Rhinolophus ferrumequinum: one gene and its partners. The protein of the gene in region 1 interacts with the protein of each later gene in a biochemical or structural test. Links are inferred from orthologs where the notes say so. Each region holds a gene or a part of one and is shown in the gene's direction. Other genes may lie near its edges.

Evidence for each region.
Region 2: the proteins of ESR1 (region 1) and ARNT form a complex in vitro, tested with the Homo sapiens proteins (2 studies listed by BioGRID). The link is inferred for Rhinolophus ferrumequinum from reciprocal best matches to the Homo sapiens genes ESR1 and ARNT.
Region 3: the proteins of ESR1 (region 1) and FOXO1 form a complex in vitro, tested with the Homo sapiens proteins (2 studies listed by BioGRID). The link is inferred for Rhinolophus ferrumequinum from reciprocal best matches to the Homo sapiens genes ESR1 and FOXO1.
Region 4: the proteins of ESR1 (region 1) and PRMT2 form a complex in vitro, tested with the Homo sapiens proteins (2 studies listed by BioGRID and IntAct). The link is inferred for Rhinolophus ferrumequinum from reciprocal best matches to the Homo sapiens genes ESR1 and PRMT2.

Annotation. Positions count from the first base shown.
Region 1 is NC_046286.1:94,554,687-94,562,683, forward strand, and holds the start of ESR1 (estrogen receptor), read left to right. Parts: upstream 1-4,988; 5' UTR 4,989-5,105; intron 5,106-7,997.
Region 2 is NC_046305.1:51,032,464-51,039,698, reverse strand, and holds the start of ARNT (aryl hydrocarbon receptor nuclear translocator), read left to right. Parts: upstream 1-4,218; 5' UTR 4,219-4,365; coding exon 4,366-4,390; intron 4,391-7,235. UniProt on the Homo sapiens protein: Required for activity of the AHR. Upon ligand binding, AHR translocates into the nucleus, where it heterodimerizes with ARNT and induces transcription by binding to xenobiotic response elements (XRE).
Region 3 is NC_046287.1:85,279,227-85,286,673, reverse strand, and holds the start of FOXO1 (forkhead box protein O1), read left to right. Parts: upstream 1-4,435; 5' UTR 4,436-4,870; coding exon 4,871-5,521; intron 5,522-7,447. UniProt on the Homo sapiens protein: Transcription factor that is the main target of insulin signaling and regulates metabolic homeostasis in response to oxidative stress.
Region 4 is NC_046285.1:109,210,817-109,218,098, forward strand, and holds the start of PRMT2 (protein arginine N-methyltransferase 2), read left to right. Parts: upstream 1-4,272; 5' UTR 4,273-4,429; intron 4,430-5,535; exon of another isoform or gene 5,536-5,538; 5' UTR 5,539-5,598; coding exon 5,599-5,637; intron 5,638-7,282. UniProt on the Homo sapiens protein: Arginine methyltransferase that methylates the guanidino nitrogens of arginyl residues in proteins such as STAT3, FBL, histone H4. Acts as a coactivator (with NCOA2) of the androgen receptor (AR)-mediated transactivation.

The DNA of each region.
Region 1 (7,997 bases):
TGGTTGTATTTGGGGGGCAGAGTCTGAAGTTCCTCTAATCCCTAGTTCCCTAGAATATACCAGCCCAGGAAAAACAATAGGATAAAAATAGCAATAACAAGGGAGGGGGGTGGTAGATGAGGGTAAAAGGGAACAAATATATGGTGATGGAAGGAGACCTGACTCTGGGTGGTGAACACACAATGTGACATGTAGATGTCGTATTACAGAATTGTACACCTGAAATCTGTAACTTTGCTAACAATGATCACCCCAATAAACTTTAGTTAAAAAAAAAAGCAATAACAAAATAATATTTTTCTCACCCTGCTCTCCGTCAACTGTTTTACAACCTGCAGTCCTTTCAAATTTTTCCTTCCGGTGGTGCCAGGTGAATAAGCAAACGCCGCAGAAATTGTCACAGGTGCTGAGCCTCACTGCAGGGCCTGCTGAAGCCACCAATGTCATCCAAGGCTGTTGCTACTGGTGTCAATCAGAGGCGCCAACACGGGCAGGCGAAGGTGGCCATATCATCAAGTGGGGAGTACGCTTCACTCCTACTTATTATCTGGTTTAGGAGTCAAAGCTTCCCTTTGTTTTCAGTGTCTTACAGAGATTTTTGTTTTCCTCTGCCTTTTATAGCAACTTCTCCTTTCATTATGATTCCAGTGTTTGTGCAAGGTGGGCAGTTGAAGGACTCAGGATAAATTCCGTGGTGTATTTAAAATCATTTTTCTCTGGCACTGGCTCCTTGGCCTTGGATGAGATTTGTAAAGTTTTCCCCTTAGAAGTACACCTTAGTCATCCATGAAAATAGACTACTGGAAGGGCCACCCCTCTTTGAATTCTAGTTGAGACCCTGCTTCCCACCGAGAAGTATGTGCATTTGGGTATCTGCAGAGCAAGACTGATGGGGTAGGAGTGGTGGTGAGCGACAGGGGTTTGGGGGGGACAGAGGGGCAGGGTCTCAGGGGAGTAGAAAGGGTCAGAGAGCTCTGTTCTTTGCTCAGCAGGGTAAATAGCTTTTTCATTTTAGATCATTGTATTCTTCACATGTTATTTCCTTTGTCACCTCTATAAATATGAAAGCCCATTTATTTTCCTAACAATTTTTTCAATAACTGTATCCTCGCATGGATGTTCATGACTTGATAGACATCTTTTTCTATACACAGAAAAGGCATGCAATTTATGAAGGCAGATTTTAAAGGCCTTTCTGTAAATGAAGTGTAAGGTTTAACTGAATTTATTCTTTTTGCAAAAGAATTTTCTGCCTGACCTTGTTATATCAAAGGAGATAGACCTTTTTCTTTGTCTTTCTTTCTTTCTTTCTTTCTTTCTTTCTTTCTTTCTTTCTTTCTTTCTTTCTTTCTTTCTTTCTTTCTTTCTTTCTTTCTTTCTTTCTTTCTTTCTTTCTTTCTTTCTTTCTTTCTTTCTTCCTTCCTTCCTTCCTTCCTTCCTTCCTTCCTTCCTTCCTTCCTTCCTTCCTTCCTTCCTTCCTTCCTTCCTTTTTTCTTCCTTCCTCCCTTCCTCCCTTTCTCTCTTTCTCTCTCTCTCTCTCTCTCTCTCTCTCTCTCTCTCTCTCTCTCTCTCTCTCTCTCTCTCTCAGAAAGACTACTTTTATCCCTATAAGCTTCAACCAGATAGCTTCAACATTAAGTAAATGACAGTCCAGTCATCAGGTATTGGTCATATTAAGGCTATTTTCAAATACCTTGGTCTTGTACACTTAAAACAGAACTGCTGGATTTTGTGCTTTTTGCTACAAAAACTAACACCTGTGATCTGGGATGAGTATTTTAGTTATACTCTTTTGATGGCAAGGGCCAGAGACTCCCTTAAATACCTAGTAATAAAGGTTCTGGAAGAATCTGTGTGACGTCCACAACCCTGCCAGTGACCAGGGCAGCTGTATCCAGACCATGCCACGTGCTCATGGACCCAGGGCCCCATATTTGTTCGTCTTGGCTCGTTGGGTTTCTCTGTCCCTGCGTAACTTCAGTTTCTAAGGGCATTTGCTTACTATGACCTGCACTCTACCCCAAGACTTCCTTCCTCCCTGTGTGTTTCACTAGCTCAGTCTAGGTTTCCAAAATTCATACTCCTGTGAATCTGAATGTGATTGGTCAAATTCATCTTTTCCCATTAGGTTATGTCCTTGGTCACTGGCCTATCTTGGTCAGATGTTTGTCTCTGGCCCAATTAGCTGTGATCTGAGGGGGGCTGATGTGACTTGGTTGTCTAGGCAACAGGAGCCTAGGGCAGGGCAATTTCTCTTAGAAAGATGAGTGAGTGGGTGCTCAGGTACTGACTGATACCTCAAGGCAAGCAGAGTTTCAATTTTGATTGCTCATCATGAGAAAAACTAGAAGTCAGAGCTGCTTCTATAATGTGATGGAATCTGGATAGTGTTTAGCGCAGTTCTCAATTTCCATTTCCAATTTTCCACATCTCTGCTAATAAGGACAAATGAAGAATTTGTGCCATTAACTATGTAATCGAGTCCCAAACTCTTCTATCATCTGGGTGTCCGACAAAAACACACACTCCAAATCAAAAACCTGAGTTTTATTTTAACCCGAATCACCCAGATCACAGCAAGATTTTGCCTGAGTGACACAGAGAGATTGCACCAATTTTCTGCTTTACTTTGTTTGTGGAGACCAGGCTTTTAATGGTTACTTCTGGAATGAGAGGACGTATTAAAAAAGGTTGGAACCTGGAAATATTTCTAGCATTGTATTGCATTGCTTTACTTAAATTGGTCTTTTCTTATTTGTTTTCCATTATTCAGTTTATTTATAATGGTGAATGCAATTTAATTAGAAACTTTACCTCAGAGGAGATTTTGTTTTCTATAAGAATGCACAGAATATTTTAAAACAATGTTAGCCCAAGGAGACACTTTAATTTTTAATGATTTCATTAGAATAAGATGATTAATAAACACTTTTTGGTATCAATCTGTAGAAACGGTTATTACCCATTCACTGATAACCTTTCCACTTTTTCTTCCCATGAAGACATGTAAAACACGTGTGTCCTCATAGTACGTTCTCATTTAGTGGTTCTGATTCTGCAGTGCAGTGTTAAAATCTTGAGTGCTCGAGTCCAGTTCACTCCAGCTGTGAAATGTAGGTATAAGTACTTAATCTTGGTATCCCATGGTTTCCTCATTTGTAAAATGAGTACTTTACAATAGTACTTCATCGGGTTAGAATAATATCTGACTTCTAGTGTGTGCCCAGAAGACATTTGCTATTATTTTTTTCTCTCTCCCACTTCAGAAAGCACATATTGGAATGCAAATGAATGTCACTAATAGTCTTTTAAGGATAATTAATTCAATTTATATTTTATATAACTTTTATATTATTCAGTTATATTTTCTAGTGAAAAAAAAAATCTATAACCTTCAGTCCAGAATCTACCGGATGTCCTATTTTGAGAACTGTTGCTCTAAGTAATTTTCTCCTCTGTATTGATGTGTGCAACTGATTTTAACAGGTAGCTAAGTGCTGTTTGAAAAGTGCAGTTCATCCATTCTGGCAAAAAAAAAAAAAATTGAAGGATTTAATTAATTTAGAAAAAAATATTTTGCTTTCAAAATATTTAAACTGTTCAAAACATTTTATTGAAGAATTTACCTTGTCAGAAATCATAATAAAAATAATAATGTAGTAAAACTACCATAATACATTACGTGATTGTTTTTTTTTTTTAATTAAAGTTTATTGGGGTGACAATTGTTAGTAAAGTGACATAGATTTCAGGTGTATAATTCTGTATTACACCATCTATAAATCCCATTGTGTGTTCACCACCCAGAGCATGATTGTTCTTTTAGTAAGTGAATCTTGTTGAAATTTCATGTTTCTTAATTTAAAATTAAATCCTTTATCTATTAGCTAAAACGTGTCCTGCTCTACATATCCTGTGCAAATTAATCTCAGACAAATTCATATATTCAAATTATTTTATGGGTAAACTTACTAATACAGAGAAGACTGAAGACAGTTAAGATATTTTTATTTCAAACTGTTTCAAAAGCGTTGATTCTGAGATTTTTGATTTTTTTTTTTTCTAAGCCGATTTTGAGATTCACCTCTTGCCCTACAGATGTAAACCTGAACTTGGAGATTCTAGGACCCAGCAGCCAGAGAAACATCCCCCTTTACCTTCTCTTCAACCATTCTCACCTCCAGAAAACTAGCCTTTCCTATGCTTTGTAGAGTAGAAAAAAATCTAATATATTAAAAAAAAAAAAATCCTTTACAACACATACTACATAAACCACTGCAGACTTTATCAGGTATTAACATTTCAATATTATTTTAAGAAATTTCAATTTTATTTTTTAGCCCATTTTCTACTTCTGAATGTTTATCTCAGGGTAAACAAAACAAAACACCCACAAACTCTTAAATGGCTGCAGGAAATGCCAGACAGTTTATGGAAATATCGTCTGATAGAAGGAATGGCTTCAGCGTCAGGGAGAAGCTAAGCCTCTGCAGGTTAAAAGTCAAGAACCTAATTAATCAGTGACGAGAAATACAGGTTGTTGAGTCAATGGCTGAACGAGAATGTTACGAAAATGCTCACAGAAGACACGTCCTCCCTCCTGCTCTTAGCTGTGACTAATTTTGGATTAACAAAATTTATGTGCTGAGTGAAGGCTTTATTTATTTTTTCCTACTGGACATGCCCGTCTAGACTTCAAGCTTTATTAGTAGCAAAGAGAAAATCAGCTGGATTACGGAAAAATAGTTCAGGCAGATTAAACAGACTCCTTACCCCTTGTTAAACATCTGCCTTGATCGAAGTGCTCAGAAAGTTAGAATCGGGCCTGGTGTGGAGAAAGGAAGGCCACCCCCTCCTCTACTTTGTACAGGAGATTTTCCACTCCTAGTCAAATGGTGGTGCTAGTTCTTTAGTTTTGAGTTACTGCATTTCCTAATTTCATGGTCATAGCCTCCTGCCTCCTGCCTCAGAGCCGATTGCACCAAAACTGAAAATGCAGGCTCCATGCTCAGAAGCTTCTTAATGGGCTCGAAAGGTTACTGTCCTTTCTCTTGCTCATTCTATAGCATAAGAAGACAGTCTTTGAGTGACATTCTTCTCTTCAAGTAGGTACTCCTGTTTCTTCTCTTTCAATTTATTTATTTTTCCTTTTGGCTATCTGTGCTACTATTTACAAGCATGAGGTAACTTTAGAGTTTCCCTCTCATGTGAAAGGATGTTCCTTTTTCGCTTAACGCTCCAGGGATATTTTGCAAAGTTGCTGACAAGTATGGCTACGACATTAAAATGTTAAGTCTAAGCTTGGTACAGTGGAAATTCACTTTTGGAGTAATAGTCAGCTGATTCAGAGGGCAACATGACTATCCTTAGCACAGCACTGACAGGCTGCCTGCCCGCCCCAGATAATGTGTATTTATTGGATCCAGCTCTAGCTGTGAGAAACTGCATTGTTGAAATGTGTCGGAATTTGAAAGTTATTAATTGGACTGATGGCGGGCTAGCCTGAACACACTACCTGTTTTCTTAAACTTTGGTGCCATAATTTATGTGAGTTGGAACTAAGCCATATGAATAAGCTCTTATTTGTTTCCTGAAAGCAGTCAAGTTTTCTGAAAAGCTACGCAATCTAGCAATACAAAAGTGAGACACCCTGTTTTTCAATTGCCCTGTGATTTTAGGCAAGTTCTTTTCAGTCCTGCTGCCTTCGTTTGCCTCTCTGTGAAAAAACGATTGGTCACTTTTTGCAGCAGGAGGGTGTGTATGTGAACGCCTTCCCCCTATAGAGCGGTGTGATCCTTGAGAAATGATGTGGCAGTCACAAAAGGCAGGGCAGGATACTTTCATTTTGGTTAGAGGGATGCCACACGCTTCAGGAAATGTGCGCTAAGTTGTTAAGTTTCATGCTTTGTCAAGAGGGTAACCATTTTTTGTTCTCTTAGACATGCCCATAAAGCCAACGAGTTGGGCTTTATCAAGACTTGGGGTCATGGCGCTGATTCCCGTCTAAAGGTGCCAGGTTTCTATTGGATTTATAGGCCAGATCTAATAAGCTTGCAGAGCAACTCCAAGCAGAAGGTTGCTGGGAAAATCATCGCGTTTTGAATGTGTGTATATCTATATCCATATAGATATCCATATACATATATGTGTATATCTATATTATATTAGCATATAATATATGTTAATGTTGAGAGTGAACTTATGAATATGAAGTAGAAATATTTGAATTTTATCTTAAAACCCAGAGAGCCGAAAAAAAAAGAAAGAAAAGAAATTGGATGGGAACTTCTGAGACCTAGGGTTCAGAGCCAATTTCTACTCTATAAAATTCTTTCCTATTTCTTAAATGCAAATGTTTGTTGCGATTTTGTTAATATCCTCTGAAGACTGCCCACCAGGCCTTGGCGTGCGTGGGAATAATATTCCAGAGGTTAGACAAAATACTATAGTGGTTGTTAGATTGTCGAAGAAATTATGAACAAAAGCAATGTAAATATCAGAGATGTGATATGTAGAAAAGAAAAGCAAAATGTTGAATATGAATGTAAAGCTTGTATTTACTAGCAGGATATTTTTCTAGCCCCTTAGAGATATTTGTTTTGTTTTATTGCTTGTGACAGTCAAGGAAAGGGATAAACTCATATGTCTTAAACTTGCAGCAAGAACAAAGCTAAACAGTTAATTGAAACAGTCTTTCAATTAACTCTGTGTCTTTCATTCAGTTTGGGATTTAGAGCTAGGAACCCTCTACCTTCCTCCTAATACTCACTCTAAATAGAAATGTTCACACTGGGTGCCTGCTGAACACGTTTATATTATTATCTGTGGATTCTCTGAGTATTTGTCCGTATTCATTTAGCCCCATTGGTCAAAGCAACTTCTGGGTCTCAGGGCCCAGGGGTTGGGCTTCAGTTTGCTTTGAACAGAGAACAGTTCTGCTGCACGGTTACAGACTGGTTACAAAGAAAACTGAGAAGAATGACAGTGACCCAGCTTTGCGTACAATATTCATGGCACAAATTTCATCGATGTTGGTTGAGGCGTGGTCCTGCTCATTCACCTTTATCAGGGCTTGCACTATCTACTCCTACACATATTTTGCTAGAAAGCTCACACTTCTGTTCCACTCTTCCATAGCAGTCATTCTTTGGTGAGGACCCAGACATTAAGTAGCTTAATTCAAATCCACAGAAGACGGCGAGGTAAAAGCTCCCACCACCTTCTAACTGTGCAGTTTCAACTCTGGCTTCAAATGCTTCATCTGCAAAGCAGGCAATTATGAATAGCTGCCGGTTATAATTGTGTGGAATAAATAAGATTAAACCATTCATTAAACTACTTGCAGTCTTCAAGTGTTAGGAACTCAATATGACAAAGTCATTTTTCTTCCAATTATAGCACCGTGCCTGGTAATAGGTGCTGGCTGAATAAATGACCAGAACTACGGCCAGCACCGTAGCTGCTAGGAGTTTATGTCCATCTGACCATAACTGGGAACTTGACCTGAATTAGAAAAGGCAATAAATCCATCCAGCTGAGCATGCTGACACATTGCTGCTTTTGTAAATGAGCATAAAGTGTTGGAAGAGAAAGTGCCGAAATCTCCAACGTCCTTCCCTCCATTATTCATCTCCTCTGTGACTATAAGGGTAATGATATTCCTTTGTGATGAGAACAGTAGCAAAGAAAATGGCAGATTCTTGCTGTGACCAGTATGTAAAAAACTTATTACAAATGCTTCATGTTTGTTTGTTTGTTTGTTTTACATCAAAAAAAGCATTTTGTTTGGTTGTTGTGCAAGGTATGAATTTATGCACATACAAGTATAGGATTGTATGCTAACTTTTAATTCAACATGAAGCTAGAGACCTCTCTCCCTCACCCACTCTGTAATGAATATTTAGTGCTCCTGAGGTGGTAGTAATAAAATTGTATTAGCACCTAACATTTAGGGAGCTCTGACTTAGTGCAATAGCCATTTTTTATAGACATTATCA
Region 2 (7,235 bases), on another chromosome or scaffold:
TACATATACCATGTTTTTTCCTAACCATGAGGTGTGAGTAAAAAATATGGTGGATGTTTAAATTTAAAAAAAAATTATTACAGTAAAAGACATATTGCCATTAATCCCCCTCAAATTACTCCCCCTTGCTTCGAACACACTTATCCCATCGTTCTTGCCACTTTCTGAAGCAGTTCTGGAAGTCCTCTTTCGTGAGCGTCTTTAGTTGCACGGTCTGTGGCTACCTCTATGTCCTGAATCGATTCAAAATGTTTACCTTTCATGGTCATTTTGACTTTGGGGGAGAGCCAGGCATCTCATGGTGCCAGGTCTGGTGAATAAGGTGGATGAGGACACGCCGTAACGTTTTTATTTGACAGAAATTGCCGTATAACAGAAGTGATGTGTGACACGAGTGTTGTCGTGACGGAGGGTGAAACTGTTTGCCCATTTCATGTTAATGCATTGTTCATAATTCATGATTTACGACACACTTTACAACACAACTTCTCTCAACCGTAGCTCACACCTGACTGACTGCACCGAACAAGTTGAAACTTGTCACACACTGTTACTAAGGTTCAATGTGCTGCTTCCATATTAAAGAGCCCTGTCTTTCCATTTGGATGGCATTTGGCAGCAGCATTCACCATATTTTGTGATCACAATGGAAAGGCTCCATGTCATACATCGCTTCTGGTATGACAATTTCTGTCAAATAAAAACATTATGGTGTGTCTTCATTCACCATATTCACCGGATCTGACACGCTGTGACTTCTGTCTCTTCCCCAAAGTCAAAATGATTCAGGACATCATGGCAGCCACAACAGTGCAACTAAAGACACTCACGAAAGAGGACTTCCAGAACTGCTTCAGAAAGAGGCAGAAACTGGTGAACACACAATGGGATTTATAGATGATGTAATACAGAATTGTACACCTGAAATCTACGTAATTTTACTAACAATTGTCACCCCAATAAATTAAAAAAAAAAAAGTGGCAGAAACTATGTGATAAGGGTGTTCGAAGTGAGGGGGAGTATTTTGAGGGGAATTAATGGCAATGTGTCTTTCACTGTAATGTATATTTTTAAAATTTAAATATTCACCATATTGTTTGCTCATACCTCATATACATACCCATGATAAAATTTAATTTATAAAGAGATTAACAATAATAACTAACAGTAAAACAGAACAATTATAACAACATACTACAGTAAAAGTTTTGTGAATGTGGTCTCCCTCTCTCTCAAAATATTTTGTTGTACTGCATTCACCCTTCTTTTTTTGGTGATGATCTGAGATGAGAATGCTTATGTGATGAGATGTAGTGAGGTGGAATTTTCCCTTTAGTATTTTTGGACTGCGGGTGACCGCAGGTAGCTGAAACCATGAAAAGTAAAACTGGGGATAAGGGGAGACTACTGTAATTGGATTTAACATGGATCTAGTATCATGAAGAGTTTCTAATTGAAGACAGTTTTCAGTAATTTGTGAGATCCTAAGTAGAAGAGCATAAGGCAACCTCAAAAGTTCAATGTTTCAACTTGGGAGAGAATAGGAGCTGTATTCAGTTGCATGGGTTGTATCCGGCTCTGAAAAGTGTTTTTCCCCCATTCAGTTGCAACATTTGGATGTGGTTTAAAATATGTTCAATAATGCGCCATTGACTTTTTTTTTCTCTGATGAAGAAAACTATCATGTATTGTGAAATAATAAGCTTTTGGCAGTCAAGGCATTTCTCTAACAGTCTGGTTTTCTTACAAAATCCCGATACTTTGTTTAAGATTAAAAATCATGGCATTTAGAACTAGAAGTCGTAAGTTCAGGTTAATAAAAATAATGAAAATATTGTTCAGATAAACCGTTAGGGCAAACTTACTATCTGGAAAAAATAGATGTGTTTTTAGTATTATATGTATAGTAAAGAAGGGATTTTTACTCCAGTCTGTTTTAATAACCTTGTGAAAGTACCTTTCCCATTATTGGCCTCCATACTTCATTGTGGAAAAAGTAGTCTTCTATCATTTGCCTATTTCTTCTCAAAGATTATGCTTACTGGCTGCTATTTTACTATATTTACAGTTTATACTATTTTGTTCTATGCTGAATCAGAATCAGGAGAAATACTCCTCTGAATAAAACAGAAAGTGGACCGACCTTTTATTTCTTGTAGGAATAATATCCTTTCTACACCCAAAGCTACAACTCCATCAGTTTTGATCCTAAGATACCTTTTCCAGACTTTCTCATACCTCACAAAATAATTCTTTTTTAAATGACAGTTTTTTTCTAAATAAAAATATCTTCTTCTGTAACTTGAATTTTAAATGATAAACCAAATAGGAAGTTTCTGGGCATTTTTCCTTAGGTACTGCACACGAGTATATGCTGTGCAATGATTCATAGTGTAGATACCAACGGTGTCTGCTTTGAAGGTAATCATCTGTTAGTAAGTACAGGGCTGATATTGTCTTTTCGTATTGTATACCATGATTATTTCTTTGTGATATTTAATTAGGGATTTTTTTGGCCAATAGCTTGTTATGCTTTCTCCAAGCAAAACATTCTTTATTAACTTTGTAGCTAGGTATACAAGCATCTCTGAAACAAAATGACTTTCACCATTTTTTTTAAATGAAGTGTGTAACTTGGATCTTTTTTATCTACACATTCACCTATTCATACTGGAAAACATTGTTTTGCATTTACTCTGGAAAAATACATTTTACTTGGCAGCAAGGTTATTATTGTATCTGGTTCAAAAATGATTTGAAAGCTTGGATGGCTTTTTGAATAACTGACAAAATTTTCTAACAGTCAAGGTGTAGTGGGCAAGGGACAAATGGATTGCTGGCCCAATAAAATCCAATTTTCAGATATTCATAGTTGTACTTCCTATTTATATTTTTATTTTTTTGTTGCTTGGATGAACTTACCACATTTAAAGGTACATAATAATTCACATTCTATATCTGCACAACTAGCTACCTTTACCACCTAACTTTGACCTGAAGTACTTGTTACTTTTTTCCCTACTTCTTATGCTTCAATGTACTTCTTCTGAGTGGATGATTTTTCTCAGTGTTGGTGAATTGGAAATGCAACACAACAAAATGGTAACAAATAAAACTTTAATTCTAACAAATGTAAACAATAATATACAAATTATGTTATACTACTTCTGCTGAGGTTAAACTATACTGTGAACTCAGAGAAATGAATCAATGTAATCTTTGTAGTACACATATAATCTATAAAATGCAAAGATGCACAACAGCATAATGGGAATTCTGTTAAAATTCTAATTAAATTTATATTAAACAGTTTGTGAAAGACATCTGAGAAGGTAATATCTTATAGTGCTAAAACGGGAATGGGTGTAATGTGTTCCCAGAATCAGACGCCTTTGGTTTGCCTTCCACACCACTAACTAGCTGGATGTTCCCTGCTTAACTTCTGCTTTTGTTCCCTTATCTGCAATGTGGAAATGATACAGTAATAGTATTGACCTCACAATGTTGTGAGGATTACAACATATAAAGCAGTTTAGACAGTGCCTCTCCCAAAGTGCTCAATGATTCCTATATTATTAGAAAATAATTTGTGCAGTTCTCATCTTATCACTTCCCTATTAAAACTCCATTACTACATCTCTATTTTTGACCAAAGGAAGTTATTGCACTCAATCAAAACACTTTCTTCATATATTGCCTCCTGGTTTTGGCTGTCGATGTCTCCTTTTGTAGACCGTAAGCGCCCAGATTCTCTTGTACTACCAGTTCTATAGCAGACATTCAAAAATTAGTTATTGAACTTTTTTCACCAGGGACAAAGGTGTTAAAAGAGGGAAAACTATAGAAAGGATTACAAATCACCACGTGAAGTTTAAGCATTAGAGCACCCTAAAGAGGGTTTACGAAACCAATCGTCTGGAGAGTGGCCAACCGGGCGAATCCACCACCAAAGGAAGCTTTTTAGTAAAATAGTTTTTCACTGACGTCACTCATCACTGACCTCTGACGCACAGGAGGTGGGATTAGGGAGACAGCTGACTTCTTCCTCGCCCTCCCTCCTCCACTGGACCCGCTGCCTGAGTAGCCAACTCTGCCTCTGGTCGATTTGGCGTTTCCATTGGTCGGTTTCCCCAAGGAGGCCGGCCTTGGGGCTGACTCCGCCCCTATGTGGGCGGGGTCTCTCCGCCTTAGGGTCTGGGGACGGTGGGGGTTGCCGCGGCCGCCATCTTGGATTCCGCGGTAGCAGTGGCGGCTGTAGGGCGCCGCGTCTGGGGAGTGGTTCTCCGCTCTTGCTCCCCACCAGTTCGGTGACGGCGGCTCCTCCCACTCGGGGGAGGGCTGCCTCGGCGGTGGCACCTACGGCCATGGCGGCAACTACTGCTAACCCCGGTGAGGAGACGGAGGACTGGGGCGCCTCTAAAGGAGGAGGGGCTGAAAGGGTTGGCAGCTGAGGAGACCCAGGGCTGAGGGGCCGAAGTTGGGGCTGAGGGCGCTGGGACGCGCGGGGGCGACGAGGGGGCGGTGGGGGAGGGGAGTGACCTGGGGGAGGGGCCCAGCCCTGGGGACCTGGGGAGACCCGAGGTGGAGGGAGGGAGCCGGTGGTGGGAGTTGAGGGTTCGGTTCCCCGAGTTCTGCTGGAGTTGCTGCCCGCACGGGGCTGGCCGGCCTGCACTCCTCCGGCCGCGTCCTGGTGTGCCGTGTGGTCCCCTTTCAACCCTCTGCCCACTGGAGCTGCGTGATGCCCAGTGACTGTGGGCAGAGGGTCTTGGTTTCCTTTAAAAGTAGTTTGGATTGATAAACACTGGACCACGTTGCTGTTTAGTTAAGGTGGTACTTCCACATGTTTAAACGTTTAGATTTTCATGTCTGTTAAAAAAAATCTTTCAATACCGGTATATTCTCCCAGTTTTTCTAGGCTGTACCTCCACGTCCCCCTACACCCCAGCCCCCGGGCTGTTCTTTGAAACTTGCGTTTCTGCTTGAAGAGGTGCCTCTAGGGTCTGGCTGCTGAAGGCAGAGGTTTGTGAAGTGGTTGAGGTTCAGGGCAGATCTTGCCAACAGCAAGCATGCATCCAGAACCCCAAGTTTAAATACTGTTAGGTGTGGATCGAGACAAGTTCAGTTCCATGCCATTTCTCAATGGTCATTTCTTCACAAGAGGGAGCTTGGACATTAAAAAACAAAAAACAACAAAAAAAGACAACCAGTCGAGTCTAAGAGATGGAGTGGGGAGTAGTGCAGCAGGTTTAGACAGATAGGTCTTCAAATTCCTAGTCCTCTTTCCACTATATTGTAGTTATGTTTCCCTAGGAAGTATTTCATTTTAGGCGTCTTAGTTTGCCTTGCTGACTTTGGCCATTCTCCTGCAAAATAAAATCCCTTCCTAGAAATTCCTATCTTTGATAGACTTAAAAAAAAAAAAAAGAAAAAAGAGCAAGCAGTAGAGGTGAATTTGTTGAAAATACTGCAGTGGAAGGGATTCAATGCTGTTTCCACGCTGAAATTTAGATTTCTTTCATGGCTCTGAAAGTCAGTATTATTTTGCAATACCCAGATTTTGCTATTACACTTGAATCACTGAAATTTAGTTTTTCCCACCATGTATCTGGGAACAGAGATATTTAAAGAAGGTCAATATCATATTTTAAAATCTTTAAAAAAATTTTTTAGAGGAAAAGGAGATAAAATTAATGGCTGAAATTCCAGTGCAGGAAGTGCTGAGTGATGGAATCAAATTGGAAAGATGCTATTACCATATATTAATTTTTGCTCCAAAAGATACATTAGAGCTGATGGTCCGGCTAGGTCTTATTTTTGGGGAAACGTGGTATTATGGCCTTGTAGGAAAATAACCTCTATCTGTTAACTGGGGAGTAAATAAACAAGATTTTATACTGGTAACACGTTGCAAAATACTTATATAACCCTAGTCAAGTTGCAGAGCATTTCTCTTATTAAGAGGTGGCCTGGCTAAACAAGTTCAGTTCATGTCAGAAGCTTTTTTCCAGCAGTGTGGGTGGGGTTGATCTATTTTGTTTTGTTTTTTGAACAACAGTAACCAGAATGATAATCTCTTGACCACATTTTCATTAGCTGATCAATATCAGCTTTAATCTGTAAGCAGAAAATAGCAAGTATTTGTGCAGAATCCTTGCTAATGAAACAGTGGATTTTGTTTGTTGTCCTTTGGCAGCCTGCTTCTTCACTTTGTAGATTTCTTTTTTGTTTGTGAAAAATTCTTCCACTTATTGATCCCATGTTCCACACATTATAATTAAATTAGAAGATGTATTTTTTTTCAAGTCTCCTTTTACTCTGTTATATCAAAAGAAAGATCATAGATGTACTGTGGACTTTTAGTAGCCTGCTGCATTTTGGGAAATGAGGACACAGGATGGAAATGTACTGTGCTCAGTGAAAAGACAGTAAATGGTTTTCAGGTTGGAAGTCTTTGTTGTCTGGTCAAACTTTCTTTTCTTAGAGCCATGTTAGGGACTAGTTACATCATACCTATTTCTTTGAGTTTTTCTACTTTTTTTTTTTTTTTTTTTGCTGGTGGTTAAGTTTCCCTACAGTTCATGTTCTATCTTTACATATATCTACAAAGGATTTTTAAATAATTATTTGACTCCTCTCTAAGCTTCATTTATGTTAATCCACAGCATTAATAACAATGCTTGATCATTTTAATTGTATTTAGAGTATAATTTAGAGACTATTGATGGCTCTTTATAATGTCTTGCAGGGGACCTGGTTCCTTTGTATTTTCACTGTCTTAACATGGTGCTGGATCAAAAGAAGAGTAAGATTATACTCTAAGAGTTATGCTGACGTAATATAGTTCTAATGTGATGATGGCCTTTTTCTGCATGAACTGATAATTCTTCATATTCTATTAATTTTCACTAATTCTACAAACAGGAGTGGGTGGGTAGGTGGTCCATGAAGTTTTAGGCCATATCTTTCTTGTCTATGAATACTATCAATTTTGAGGAGCGCTTTAAATTGCGTGTGTGATTTGTAATGCATTGGCTAAGGAGCTGATAGCGAAGAGATTAGGTATTTGATTTACAATTCAGTATTCAAACCAGAGAACCATGAATGAGTTTGTGCAAGTGTAGGTTCTTCCTCCCTTCATTCTGGTATTCTCCTTAGTAGAGACCTCTTTTTTGTGCTAGTACCGTTTATTGTGGATGGAGAATATGGTAGAAGGCAAGGGAAGGAACACTGTTTG
Region 3 (7,447 bases), on another chromosome or scaffold:
TACCTGTAAAATGAAAGTTTGTGTTAGACCAATAACGATCACCTATAAATTCTTTCCCCAGATAAAACCACAGCAAACGCTTTGAGCTGACAGTAATACCTTACAACTTTTTAAATACTGTATCACCAGCATTGTTGTAATGTACAAATGTTTTGTCCACTTTATTTTAAATGACTACATAAGATTCTACCTTACAGATATGCCATTATTTATTTAGCCATTCTCTATTGTTGGTTATTTAGATTATCTACAAATATATTTAAGAATTCCTGTAGAAACCCACAAGTAGTCTTTCACTAACACTTCAAGTGAAGGAACGGAGGTTATAGAAGCTGAGAAACATTGGCTATTCATAACAGAGTTGAAAATATGGGATATCTGGTTCATGACTTGCCCAATCCTTCTCCTTCGTTACAGATTAGGAAGCACCATTTTTATATGTGATGGACAAATAATCTGACGTAGCCTGGGTCTTTTATCCATTTCAGGCAAGATTATCCCAACTCCAAGGTTTGGTAGCCAGAGTTCATACTCCCTGTGGATGGTGCATTATTTAGTTTCTCTACCTCATCTTATTATTTTTCTTCCAAACGCTGCTGATAATAATATTTCAATTTTTTTCCTGCTTTAGCAGTCCTTGTATCCATGAAATACTTTGTGTGTAATTCCTCCAAAAAAATATTGTCAGTGTTCATTGCCAATTATTTAAGAACAACATAGTTTTCACTTTGACATCAAATATCATATAAAGGAAAACAAAATCAACCATTTATAACCTCAAGGAGTTTGCTATGAAAGCAATGTATTCTAAGATGTTCAGCATCTGGCATGTACATAGTAGGCACTTTATAAATATTTGTTGAATGAACAACAAAATCCAAAGGATATTATCTCTCAAGAAAAATGAATGCCTACTTCTGATATTAGATATTAACTATGGTACTACTTTACCTGCCAGCTTTCAGGACATTGGTTTAAGAACCCAAAGCTGTATTTTTTCAGATTATTATTTTCTATGTGCAAAGTGAAGAAAGGCTGTTTTAGGTTGATAGTAGTACCTCTAAATAATTCAGACACAATATTGAAATGGACAGTTGTTGGGGAAAGGGAATGTGAAGTATGATGCTCGGTGTCATGACCGGAAAAAAAAGCATCCAGGCTTTTCACTTACTCATTAAACTGGACTTAAATTACCTATTTTTATGAGTAAGAATTTAAACCAGAAATCTGTGTGTTGATGGTGAGGGGTAAATGTAGAAGTTTCTGCCTGGGAATTGATCAAAGGTAACCATCTCTCAGTCTTCCTGTCAAGGATGATGCAATAATTACTCTGAAAACCAGGCAGAGAAAAGAACATCATATTGGTGAGATGGGCTCTGTGAGAATAAATTTCCTTTTTCATTCTAATTGTCATAACCTGACACGAAAAATTTTTCTTCTCAATCTGGACACATGCACCAACTAATAATTGATAATCATTAGAAAAAGTTTTCAAAGCAAACAGCCATCACAAAAAATACTGAAGGAGAAAAGAAATGAAACTTTTTCTTTAAAGCAGAACTATGGTAGTGCCAACCTAAATACTTTGGCATCCTTCAAAGAGAGACAAAATGTTTATTTACATTTTTGACTTAAAAAAACCCCACTTCTTTTGTAATCTTTTTTTTTCCATTATCTTACTATCACCATAACCTTTTTGTGTCTGCTTTTTAAATCTTTTAAATCAAAACTTCAGTTCAGTAGAGTTCATCTAACTAAAATGACTAAATCTGTAGGATTGACTGGGAACACATCACAGTTTTATAGTGGTTATCTCTATACTGGGATTACAGAATATTTATAGTTTTCCATCTGTGTATTGAGAAGATTATTGATAGGAGAGCAAGAAATTGAAGCTCTAGCCCTGGTCTTGGGCCATAGGGCCTTGGGCAAATCAATTGGGTAGTCTGTGCCTCAATTTCCTTATCTATAAATTAAAGGGGGCCACCAAGTAGCTTGATATAGTACTCATGGAGGGCAATTTTGGCAGTGTGTCTCAAAATTATAAATGCATTTAACTGCTGACCCAGTGATCTGTTTTCCAGAAATTCCTTCTATAGATATACTTGGACAGATGCAAACTGAGTTACATAAGGTTATTCATTACAGAATAGCTTGTGATAATTGAAGATTGGAAATAAGACAAATATTCCCCAGTATTCTACAGTTCAGTAAATTGATACCTACAAAGGTATGGTAGGAAGCTATAAACACCTTTTAACATATATTTTTAATTTTTTTGACCTACGAGTATGTGTCAGGGACATTGGCGCTGTAGGACTCTGAGCCTGCTTCAAGTCAAATTTTATAAAAGACCAAAATGAAGCAAACTATGACATTCAAAGAAACAATCAGGCAGACTAGCCCAGAAGATTCCAAGGATTTGGGCAAAGTATGTAACAAAAGTCAATCAAATACTCTCCCCCCATTGAGGGCCTGAAAAACCGGAATTGAAGTCAAAGCCAAATTTGCAGCTGGCTTCCTTTGCCAAGAATGATCCACTAGGGCACCGCCTATTTGTAGGGTGCGGCCGTCTGGATTGGGGGCTGCCTCTGCATAATGTAATTGGAAAGGTTGAGGGGTAGTAACAGTTGGACATTAGGGCCTTCCTTTGAGCTCACCATCTGGGTTACTGAGGTCCCCTAGCGGCTAGCAGAGAAGGCCCGAATTGTCCAAATTTTACAGTAAACGCAAAAAAGAGCATAAGAAGAAGAGGATGGGAACCAACCCTATCCTCAATTCACCAGGCTCACCAAACGCCCACGCCCAGTATCACTCGGAAACTGTCGTGATAAGTGGATTATGAAGAAATATGAGTAAGTGGACTAGGGAGATAATAGTGAAAATGTAAAGTAAGAAATAAATTTCTTAAGTCTTCAAACTTTCGAACAAGAGGCCTACTTTTCTTAAGATGTCATTTTTTTTTTTCAATTGAATTACCTGGAAAAAAATGAGTTTTTTTTTTTTTTTAAAGAATTGGGAGCTGTCATTTTGGACAAGATATTTTAAACCCTGTCAATCTTCCATCCTAAGTGATCCCATCCCTCTGAAAGGAAATGCCTTCCATATTCCTCCTAAAAATGCAAAGCAAAACAAAACTTGAAAACTGTTTCTTCTGCTCCCTGAGACACAAGGACCATTGTCTTCCCACCTTTGGCCTCACTGATCTCTACAGGACGTCCTGGACCTGGAGCCCAGATGGAGAAAGATGGGGTGGGTGGGTTGATTGACGCACGAGGCAAGCAGCCTAAAGGAACCTGGGGGTGGGGAAGGACTGTGCCCCAAGACTCTTGAGTTTTTACTTCTCAACAACTCATCGTTTTAATTCTAAATAGCAAAGAAATTAAAATCAAACAGTTAAACTTAAGAGTCAGAATTAAAGTGACAAGTTTACGTGTAAATGCTGTCCTCTTACTCCTTCCCCGCCATCCCTGGACTGACTCGGTGGATAGTTTGCGATTCCTGCCCAGAAGAGGTTCCCACGGACGGCACGAGGTCTAGGATGCCTTTGGGACTGCGTGTGCGTGTGAAAAAGGACCATTTCGCTGCGCCGCGCCCTTTCCCCTCATTTCTAGCCTTTTAGGTCAAGAATGGAGTGAGTGAATCCGGATAGTGGCTGCCGGGCTGGGCGACTGGCCCCGGGCTAGAGCGAACTGCAGAGGCTCAGTTAAGGGGTGCGGACAGGTGGGTTCCGGGCGCGGAGGCGGTGGGAGGGTGCTCGTCGCGCGGATTTGACCGCCAGGGTCCCGGCGCCCGGGGCCCTCTGTGCGACCGTGGCCGGGGCAGGACGACTTGAAAGATCACGGAGAAAGAAAACACCAAAACAAAACCCACCGACTGCCCCACGTTTCTTTGCAAAGAAACCGTGGGTGGAGCCCAGAGCTGGGCTATTTATTGAGTAGAATTCCGCGAGGTCGTCTCCGCCCACCCACCCAGCGCCCCCAGAGCTCTGCGTGTCCCACATCCCCAAAGTGGAGCTTCACTCCACTTTGGGCTCGGAGCGGAGGTCGAGACAAAGTGAGCGACTTCTTCCACGGGTGCTTCCAGAGTACTCGGCTTTGCTCCTCAATAGTAAACAAAGTGTCGCCGCCGCCTCCACGCTCTTTTGCCTCCTAGCAATCAAATACTGAGACGGGCGAGAGACTCACAGAAACATTTGAGAATTACCAGAAAATAAGACATCCAAAATAAAAATAAAAAGAGAGAGTGTGTGAAAGAGAAAAACACCCCACTACCCCCCACCAACTCACTGCCACCTCCCGGTGGAAAATCGGCCCCCGCCCAGGACCTCGTCCACTGGCTGCCTGGGCGGCGGTGCCGCGCGCTCATTGGCCGCCCGGGCTGTTAGTCAGGGGCGGGCCGGCGTGCGCGCCGCTGCGGGCGGGGGGTGGCGGCAGATCCCGTAAGTCGGGAGGCCGCGTAGTAGCTGCAGCCTTCGCCGCCGCCGCCACATTCAACAGGCAGCAGCACCGCAGTCGCGCCGCCCGGGAGAGCGAGCGGCTCGCGGCGTCGGTCCGTCCTCCGGTCCGCGGGCCCTGTCAGCAGGAGCGCGGCGCCGGCGCTGTCCGGGCCCGGCGACACTGGTCAGCCGTCCCGTCGGTGCAGCGGACTCGGAGGAGCCTAGATGTTGATGGACTCGCGAAGTTAAGTTCTGGGCTCGCGCTGCCACTACACCGCGCCTTCCTCCCGGTTTCCATCCGCCGGCGGCACAGACTTCGCCCCCACCCCCCACCAATCTCGGACGGGCTCTTCGCGCCCTCTTCTCCTTGGCCCCCAGTGCCTCGCTTTACCCCTGGGCTCTACCGCGGCTGGGGGAGGGGCGGGGGTCACCATGGCCGAAGCGCCCCAGGTGGTGGAGATCGACCCGGACTTCGAGCCGCTTCCGCGGCCGCGCTCGTGCACCTGGCCGCTGCCCAGGCCGGAGTTTAGCCAGTCCAACTCGGCCACCTCCAGCCCGGCGCCGTCGGGCGGCGCGGCCGCCAACCCCGACGCCGCGGCAGGCCTGCCCTCGGCCTCGGCGGCTGCTGTCAACGCTGACTTCATGAGCAACCTGAGCCTGCTGGAAGAGAGCGGGGACTTCCAGCAGGCGCCCGGCTCCGTGGCGGCGGCCGCGGCGGCGGCCGCGGTGGCGGCGGCGGCGGCCGCCGCAGCTGCCGCCACCGGGGGGCTGTGCGGGGACTTCCAGGGCCCGGAGGCGGGCTGCCTGCACCCAGCGCCGCCGCAGCCCCCGCCTCCCGGGCCGCTGTCGCAGCACCCGCCTGTTCCCCCGGCCGCCGCGGGGCCTCTCGCGGGGCAGCCGCGCAAGAGTAGTTCGTCCCGCCGCAACGCGTGGGGCAACCTATCCTACGCAGACCTCATCACCAAGGCCATCGAGAGCTCCGCGGAGAAGCGGCTCACACTGTCGCAGATTTACGAATGGATGGTCAAGAGTGTGCCCTACTTCAAGGATAAGGGAGACAGTAACAGCTCGGCCGGCTGGAAGGTGAGTGGTCTTGGGGCACATGGTCGGATGGAGGAGGGGGCGCAGGGACTTCTCTGCCGGCACTTGAGGTCGGAGTAGGGCAGATGAGGGGGTGGCTGTGCAAGTTTCCTTGTCCTGAAAGTGCAGGGCACACGAGCAGCGCGTGCAGGGAGCAGGCGAGAAGTGGCAGATATAGGTTGTGGGCTTGCTTGGGACGGGTTGGGGGACTGGAATAAGTGTGCGCGCGCTCAAATGCGAGTTGGAGTGGGACGGGGCACGGGCTCGTTTGGAAACTGAGGGAGTGAAAAAAGTACAAGAAGTGACATCAGCGGGCAGAAAATTTCGCCGGTAAAAGAAGGTGATTCACTGGGAGGTGCTCCCCCACGGCCGGTGTGGACTCCTGCCGCAGCTCCTTTTCCTCCAGGACCTCGCGGGTGAGGCCGGCTCCTTTCCGCCCCCTTGGGCCGAGCCGGGGAGCCGTTTCCGTTGTGCTTGGCCCTGGTGGGCACGGCGAGGGGCATCTGAGCCCCCCACCCCCACAGCGGGGGATGGGGCTGCAGGTGGAGGGCAGAAGCAGGGCGCGGGCCGGCCCGTGGGGGCTGGCCGTGCAGTTTTTGGAGGCCGGTGTGCATTTTGCTTTGTATTGATTTTATCCGTGGTGGCCTTGAGTTCAGGGGACCCGGCGCTCCAAGCCCGAGGTATCTCATCCAACACGTGCAAAGGGATGGTCACCGCCAGCAGAGCTGCGGCGTCCGGCCGTGCCGGGCGAGTTAAAGTTCAAGTGTGACCCTCGGCGGGGGCGGAGGCGGGAGCTGGCGGTGGCGAGGGAGGGGCCGAGGGTGCAGGAAGCGAGCGCCTTTAAAGGGCCAGCGCGTCCTGGCGGTGAGCAGCTTAAGGCCCGGTTGCCGGGCGTTGCGGCGGGCACTTCTCTACGCAAGGAAGTGCCCCCAAAGTTGGTCTCGCCCTTGGTCCGAGGCCTTTAATTAGGCACGGCGAGGCTCCTCTGGGTGACCAGGGCTGGGTACGTGTGTACCCTCTCGCTTTGCCCCCTCAGTGTTACCGAAAACGGAGATGTAGAGATCCGAGGGCCAAGGCCGGGGGCTTTGAGATAAGTGTTTTGGAGGCGTTGGAATGGATGTGCGCATCTGGGGACCCGGCAGGGACCTTCTCCTGCCTTCACGGCAGGACTGCAGATGAGGCGCTTCTGGCCTTTTCTGCCATTCAGAGAGACCCGGAGAGACGGTGGGGGCAGTCACATTCCTACCTCCAGGTGAAGGTCTGCGGCCCCTCTAGAGGACGGGCTCTCGGGACGGTTACCCAGGGTCCATTTGCCTTCAGGCCTCCTAAAGCTGACAGTTTCTCAGGCACAGGTGGAGGTATTGATGCTAAGATTCTCTGGTTGAGCCAGACTCCTTCGTCACCTCTCATGCTGACTGTACAGCATAGTAAAATTAATCATAATCTTTATGTACAGCATAATCTTGGCGCAGTTGTTACACCAAGGTTGTTTTACATACACTGCCATACTTGTGGTTATTGTGTCAAAAAGTTTAAGTAATTCACATCGTATTTAAGTTTCTTGGAGGAGCCAGGATTTTATTTTTTCCAAAGTGTGTTTTAGAGTAAAGTTAGCACTTAGCACCTCATTACTAGGCATACATGCTATTTTACCAAGTGTTTTTAAAAAAGGTAAAGAGCCTCACTGCAATCTCAATATATATTCTTTTAAGTCACAAAGTGGGGATTCCCTGCCAAATCCAATTTTACTTAACATTTGAATTTAAGTATTTGAGTGACTTGCTCATTTATGGATCCTACTTGAGCTATGATAAAGCACTTGCCATTTAAAAAAAAATCCTTTTTTTTTTTTTTTTGGCATTCAAAGTACAGTGTGTACTTTACACCATTCTTTTATGTCCTTGGAAATGGATACAACCTATTTAAGCT
Region 4 (7,282 bases), on another chromosome or scaffold:
GCCAGGAAGAGTCATTCTGGCTTGAGTTTCCAGGAGCAAAGGCCTTGGGCAGCAACGTTGTTCTCACACAAAGGACAGTGCCATCCGCCACCAAGCTGCTCACGAGGTTGGTTACAGGGACCCGTGTCCATAGGGAGAGAAAGACGCCTGTGTTCTAAAGGGACGTGGGAGAAGGGACAAAGGCTTCTGTTGTAGCAAATGCCAGTGTCCAGGCGAAGAGAATTAATCGCCTTTCCTGTTCTACAGAAGGCTGTTGCCAGACCGCAGGAGGCCGTGGGTGAGCCCTGGGGCTGGGTTCAAGTCTGCCTCTGCCCAGAGACCCTTGGGAAATGACTGCACCTTTCTCAGCCTCTGTAAAAGAGGAACCCTGAGGACTGTTGGAGGAGTAAATGAAATTTTGCACGCACACACGCACGCGTGCGCATGTACGTATAGTGTGCAGTGCCCGATGCTCTCGATCAATGGTCATTATTATCAAAGTGACTATCCTTGTGTATCCAAACACCTGCAGCTGGCAGGTAAACTCCTGGTGCAGAAGGTGGACAAAGAAAACAGGCAGATCGCTTTCTGAGCACAGAATGAACTCACTGGCTAATGTACAACTTGGCAAACTTTGCGGGAGTATCGCGTGTTGTTATGTTTATGCCACATCAGGTTCTGTGAATCCATTTGGTTGTAGCAGCCGTCCCAGGACCGCTGCTCCCTTCCAAAGGGCAGCCCAGCATGAGCAGAACTGCCTGGCTTTGCTTTGGACCCATGGCCGTATTAGGTCCCAGCTCAAAACAGCAGGGCTTTTGTTTCTGTTTTTCCACTTTTTCTTCTTTTCCGTTTTGAGAAGGAGCTGGACATGGGAGCACAGTGAGCACCCTTTCCCTGCTGGCTTCATGCATGAGGCTTTTGCCCAGGGAACTGCCTCTCCGTGCAATGTGAGAGGAAGTACTGAACCAACGAAGGGAAACCGCGGCTTCCTCTGTGGTAGGACTGCTGCAGACTATCTGACCAACGCTTTTCACTTTCACGGACTCTTGGAAATTTGCCATAAAATTACATCAGGTTTAAAGTTTTAAAAATCACTGTATGAGCCTCTTTGGTGGTTTACTCAATGGGAACAAATTTTTTTTATTTACTCTGTAATCACACATTTTTATAACTTCCTCCCATTATGGGCCCAGAACAGCACAGTATTCAACCACATTAAACCAAATGAACAACAACAAAACCTAATCAATTCTTAAAATTATGTAACTAATAAGGATTCATACACCTGGACTTAAAAAATGCTTCTGTGAGATTGAACCATCTCTAATAAGACTGACCCTGGAGGTGGGGATGAGTTAATTATTCTGAGATTTAAATAAAGAATGTACCAAGCAAACCAGAGACAATGAAAGCTAAGGGGGTATAAATCTGGAAGCCTAATTTCTAGCAGTATATAAGTTTATGTTTTCCTTTCTGATAGTTGGGTTTTTTTATTGCCTACTTGCCCTAGTATGCTGGCTAGGATTTCCTGTTGCTGTGTATTGGTTTGTTATGATTTGTTATGCCTTAAGTGAAGTTATTTTGATCGAAGGGTGAATTTCTTTATATGAGGGGTTGTGTCGGGATGATGTCATCAGCATTATTGTGCTTATTAATATGAACACATGGAGGAGTGACTATGATGTAATGAACATTTAAACTGTGGTACCAAGAGTGTCCAGTCTGGGCAAGGCTACTCTTGGCTCATCTAAGTAGCTCTCTGAGGCACCAGCTCCTGCCATGGCCAGGCTACTCTCTGCCAGCACTGGTGAAAACTGCAGTGGCCCGTGGAGGAGACCATCCTGCCCGCCAACACTGGCGCCTGTGTTCCACCAGCATCGCACTCCAAAAACAGGGACTTTCAATTTGCGCTGGCAGCTGGGTGTCAGCGCTTGATTGGCTGAGCCAGCTCTCCCGAGAACCAGCAGCTCGTAGAGAGGTGCACCTCAGCTACATCTGGACTTAATCTCTTTCATCTCCCCTTTGCTTGGAACAATGATATACTTATCTATCATTAGAGTATATTTCTTTATTGGCTTATTAAGAGATATTATCCTGTATGCTATTGGCTTGTGACATATTATTATAAGTTGTAATTCCTGCACTGAACCTATGTTAAATAAATTATTGGCAAAGACACTGTCAGTGTCTGAGCATAATTTTGCCATGAACAAAACGCCTATAAAATGTTGAATAAAGTGAAAGTGGATGCATTTGCTTTGTTTCTGATAAAAAGTTTCAATATAACATCATTATGGTTTTAGCGTTAGGGTTTTTGATAGATTCCTTTTAATAGATAGATGATGTTCTATTTTTGTTGATTTAAAATGATTGGGTATTGAATTTTGTCAAATCCTTTTTAAAATTTATTGAAATGATTATATATTTTCCCCCATTCTATTAATATGGTGAATTGTATTAATTTTCAAGTGTTAGTCCAAGTTTGCATTACTGGGATAAACTCCACTTGGCCATAATGTATCACCCTCAGTATATATTGTTAAGTTTGATTTCCTAATGTTTTCTAAAGGATTTTTGCATCAATTTTTATGAAGAATATTAATTATTCTTTATTTTTTGTGAGGTATTTTTATTAGAGTTATGTGTGCCTTATTAACAAACTGGGACGTGTCCAGCCCCTATTTTCTTAAAATTTTAATGTTGGTGTTACTTCTTCCTTATACATTTGATGGAATTCACCATTGAAATCATTTAGGGCTGGAATTTTCTTTGTGAGGTTTTTTTAATAACAAATTTAATTGATTAAATATAAATATATAATATATAATATAAACCATATTTGGTCATGATACGTAATCACTTTATGTATCACTGGATTGTTTTTGCTAACATTTTATAGCAGTGTTAATATTGGCTGCATAGAACCGGTTAGGAAGTCACTTTTCTCTGTTTTCTGGAAGAATTTGTGTAACATGGGTATTAGTTTCTCCTTGTTTGGAACCATTTACTAGTGACACCATCTGGGCCTGGAGTATTCTTTGTAAGAAGGTTTTAAATTATGAAGTCAATTCCTTTAGCAGATAGTATGCAGATTTTCTAAATATTCTTGTTCATTTTTGGTAATTTGTGTTTTTCAAGGAATTTGTGGAACTTATCTAACTTGTCAAGTTTCGTAATGTTTGTCTTTTAAAAACCTATGGAATCTCTATACTGAATTCTTTTTTCATTCCTCATATTGGTACTTCGTGCTTCTGCTTCTTTTAAAAAAAATTGTGGTAGAAGACCCGTAAGCTAAAATTTACCACCTTAACCATTTGTAAGTGTAGACAGAGTTCCGTGCAGTAAATACACTGGCCCTGTGGTCCAACCGTTTCCATCCTGTGAAACAAGCCCTTTCCAGTTACCAGTATCTCCTCTCTCCCCAGCCCCGCCGCCACCAAGCTGCCGCGTCGGTGATATTGACGCCCGCCTCCCTCCGAGACCAGCCCACGCTAACGCGCACTGACGTCTTTCCCAACGCCCTCTTGGGGAAATAAAAACGTAATCCCTCTGCTTCCGTTTGTCAAGTGGAAAGAATGACAAATGGTTCACACCTCACAGCGCAGTGAGGTAACTGAAGTACAAGAAAAACACGAGAAAGGGGGTCCTGATCCAAAAACAGCCATTTCTGTCGCCCATAAATGGGTTTCCGACAACTGTCCCCTGGCCTCGCTCCCCGTCTCAGAGTCGGGAAGCAGCCCCGGCGCCGGGTCCCCTTGCCCCGCCCACACACCAGGCCCGGCGCTGCTCCCGGTGCTCAGCTCCCGGGTTAGCGCAACGGCCACCGGCGCGACAAGTGACACGCGCCCGCGCGGCGCGCTCGCCCCAGGCCCGGGCCTCTTCGCGAAGGAGCTGAGCGCCTCGCGCCCGCGCGGGCGGAGGACGGTAGCTCCACTTGTCCGGACAGCGGAGCGCATGAAACAAACTGGGATGTGTCCAGCCCCTATTTTCTTAAAATTTTAGTGTTGGTGTTACTTCTTCCTTATACATTTGATGGAATTCACCAGTGAAATCATTTAGGGCTGGAATTTTCTTTGTGAGGTTTTTTTAAATAACAAATTTAACTGATTAAATATAAATATATAATATGTAATATAAACCATATTTGGTCATGATACGTAATCACTTTATGTATCACTGGATTGTTTTTGCTCACATTTTATAGCAGTGTTTATGCTGGCTGCATAGAACCGGTTAGGAAGTAATTCACTCGTCTCTTTTCTGGAAGAATTTGTGTAACATGCGCATGCGCGGGGCCCCGGCCCCGGGGTGGGGCCTCCTCCGCTGACGTCCTGCTCGCACTGCGCCTGCGCGGGCCGAGGGCTGTGGCTCCGGCTCGTGGTAGGCACCGTCCGCCCCTCCGCGCTGACTGTGTGGATCGCGCAAAACTCAGCGGACAGACGCGGCTGAGGTAGGTTTCCCGTGGGCAGCTCGGGCGGCTGAACCGCACGTAGGCAGGACATGCCAGGTGAGAGGGCCTCGCCCGACGTGTGCGTGAGCGGGCTGACCGAGGCCTCCGCCCCCTTCCGAGACCACCCGTGTCTTCCCCGCGAGCTCGGCGCCCCGCCCCTTTCCGCAGCCACGCCCTTCCGCAGCCACGCCTCCAGGCACGCCCACCTCCCGGCGCGCCCTCTTGTCAGGCGTGTCAAACCCTCGCCCGCCCTAGGCCGATGTCACACTCCCTTCCCCGCTTACTCCCGGTGCTGCGTCAGCGCCCCGCCCCTCCCTTTACGCTCTCCACTTTCACCCCAATCTCGTTGGCCACCTGCCCCTCGTGATCCAGGGGTCGCTCCCCCCCACAGTGCACGGAGTCTGCGTCTCTTTGCGGTCCGCTCACCTGGCCCGCCCCGCTCTGGCCCCGCCCCATCAACCCGGCCCTCCCAGTCCTTGGCCGGCCCTGTCCCATCCTGGTTCCAGTGCAGTTTTACAATGAAAATGCAACGTATGTATATTAGTATTTGTAACCACGGATGTCACAAAATTAAGTATTAGGTCCTGATTTACAAAAGAAGCACTCATTTTAAGCAGACTTGCTATGTAATTGAGAAAACATCTTAAAACGTACTGCAGATTACACTGTCACTGGAAAAATAAGAATTGAGAATGAGAAGGAAAAGCCTCTGGAAGATGCAAACCTTGGCTCCTGTTAGTGGAAACACTTTAAAGCTCCAGGTAGGGAAGTTTAATTGGAATTAAAGCTAATAAGGTTCCAAGAAAAGATTTGACATCGATTTGTTTTAAATCAACCCTGTGATCTGACAGAAAACAGATTTCAGCCAGTGATTAAGAGTAACACCTTGCAGACTAGTGAAGAAAACACATACTTCTTTGAAGTTCATAAATTTTAAATGCTTTCCATTGTTTTTGTAAAGAATTGGGTTTATAAATTTTATTTCTGTTCCATTCATTACACATAACACATTTGAGTTCTATTTGGTAGAGGACCTTTATCACGGACCTTAGAAGCTTAATTATTATGCAATGTAATGAAGCATTTTCTCATTCTCTCTTTTAAAGCAGAAATGGAGAGGAAAATGAAACATTAACAGTGGCAGCTATGCGGCACATCCTAAGAGAACTATGGCAACATCAGATGACTGCCCCGGAAGTGAATTGCAGGTAAGTTCAGTTCTGGTGGTGAGAACATGAACATTACAGAGCTGAGATCATCCACAGTGATGGCACTTTCGTTGGGTGTATGAACGTGGCCACCAACCACATTGTAAGCATTTCCTAGGAATCTAGGGTTCCGTTTTTGGTACCTGTGCTGTTTAAGCAAGCACATTTTCTTAGTTGTTCAATTAAGTTCCAGGCATAATCCATTAAAGGCAGGTCGAACACCTTAGAAAAGATTTATGTATTCATGCTGCTTTTCTGCCTGGGACACGTAGAACTTCATTCAAGTTAGCAGTAAAATTTCAAGGACTGTTGATTAGGTAAAATTAAAAACTAAAGGAATACTCAAGTAACTTTTTTTTTTTTTAAGATTTTTAATTTTTTTTATTGGGGAAGGGGTACAGGACTTTATTGGGGAACAGTGTGTACTTCCAGGACTTTTTTCCAAGTCAAGTTGTTGTCCTTTCAGTCTTAGTTGTGGAGGGCGCAGCTCAGCTCCATGTCCAATTGTCGTTGCTAGTTGCAGTGGGCGCAGCCCACCATTCCTTGCGGGACTCGAGGAATTGAACTGGCAACCTTGTGGTTAAGAGCCCACTGGCCTATGTGGGAATCGAACCGGCAGCCTTCAGAGTTAGGAGCACGGAGCTCCAACCGCCTGAGCCACCGTGCTGGCCCACATTTTTTTTTTTTAATTAAACCTTTCCATGTCTGTGATGTTAATTTTAACATTTCTTCTTTTCATTCTAATGATCTAATTTCATTTAAGTTTTTATATATAGCAATTTTATTTATATTTGGGTCATTTTATTAATCTTTCTTAAAATTAATGATAAAATGTTTTAATTCCATAGCTGTTTCATTTTTCTTTTGAGAAATATAAAAGATATTGGAACATTTACAGAATAATATTGGAAATACCCAGTACATATTATACAGAAGTGAAAATTTGTTAATGTTTTGTCATGTTTGCCTCAGAATACACACACACACACACACTAAACCATAAATAACATTTATTCCCCAACCCCAGTCCCATTTTTCCTCTTTCTCCACAGGCAAACGCTATGAAAATTATGAATTGATCTTTGTGCTCTGCACCATTTTTTATACTTTTAGACCATAAGGTCTAGGCATCGCTTAAGTGGCATCATATTCTGTGTGTCATCTGCAGCTGGCCTTTTGCACTAATGTTACTTGGGGGATTTTTCCTTGGTGTGTGTGTGGAGCTGGTTCAGTCCTAAAGGGTGCTCCTAGAGCGTGTTCCTTATGGGAACAATATGTATTAATACATAGGTCTGTGTACACTGGGTATACACCACATTTTCTGTATTTCCCTGTTGTTGGACACTTACATTGTTTCCAGTTTTTTCTATTCCAAAGAGTGCTGCAATGACCGTCCATGTACATGTCTCCTTGTGCACATGTGCTCTAGGGTGTATACCCAGTAATGGCATTGCAGGGTGGAAGGGATTGTATCGTTTCAGTTTTACTAGATAATGATCGATCGTTCTCCCAAGTGGTCTACCAGTTCACAGATCTGCCAATAGTCCACAGTGCTTGCTAACACTTGAGAGCATCAGACTTTTTCAGTCAATCTGATAGGTTAGAAATGGTACCTTGTTATTTTAGTTTTCTGATTACTTGTGAG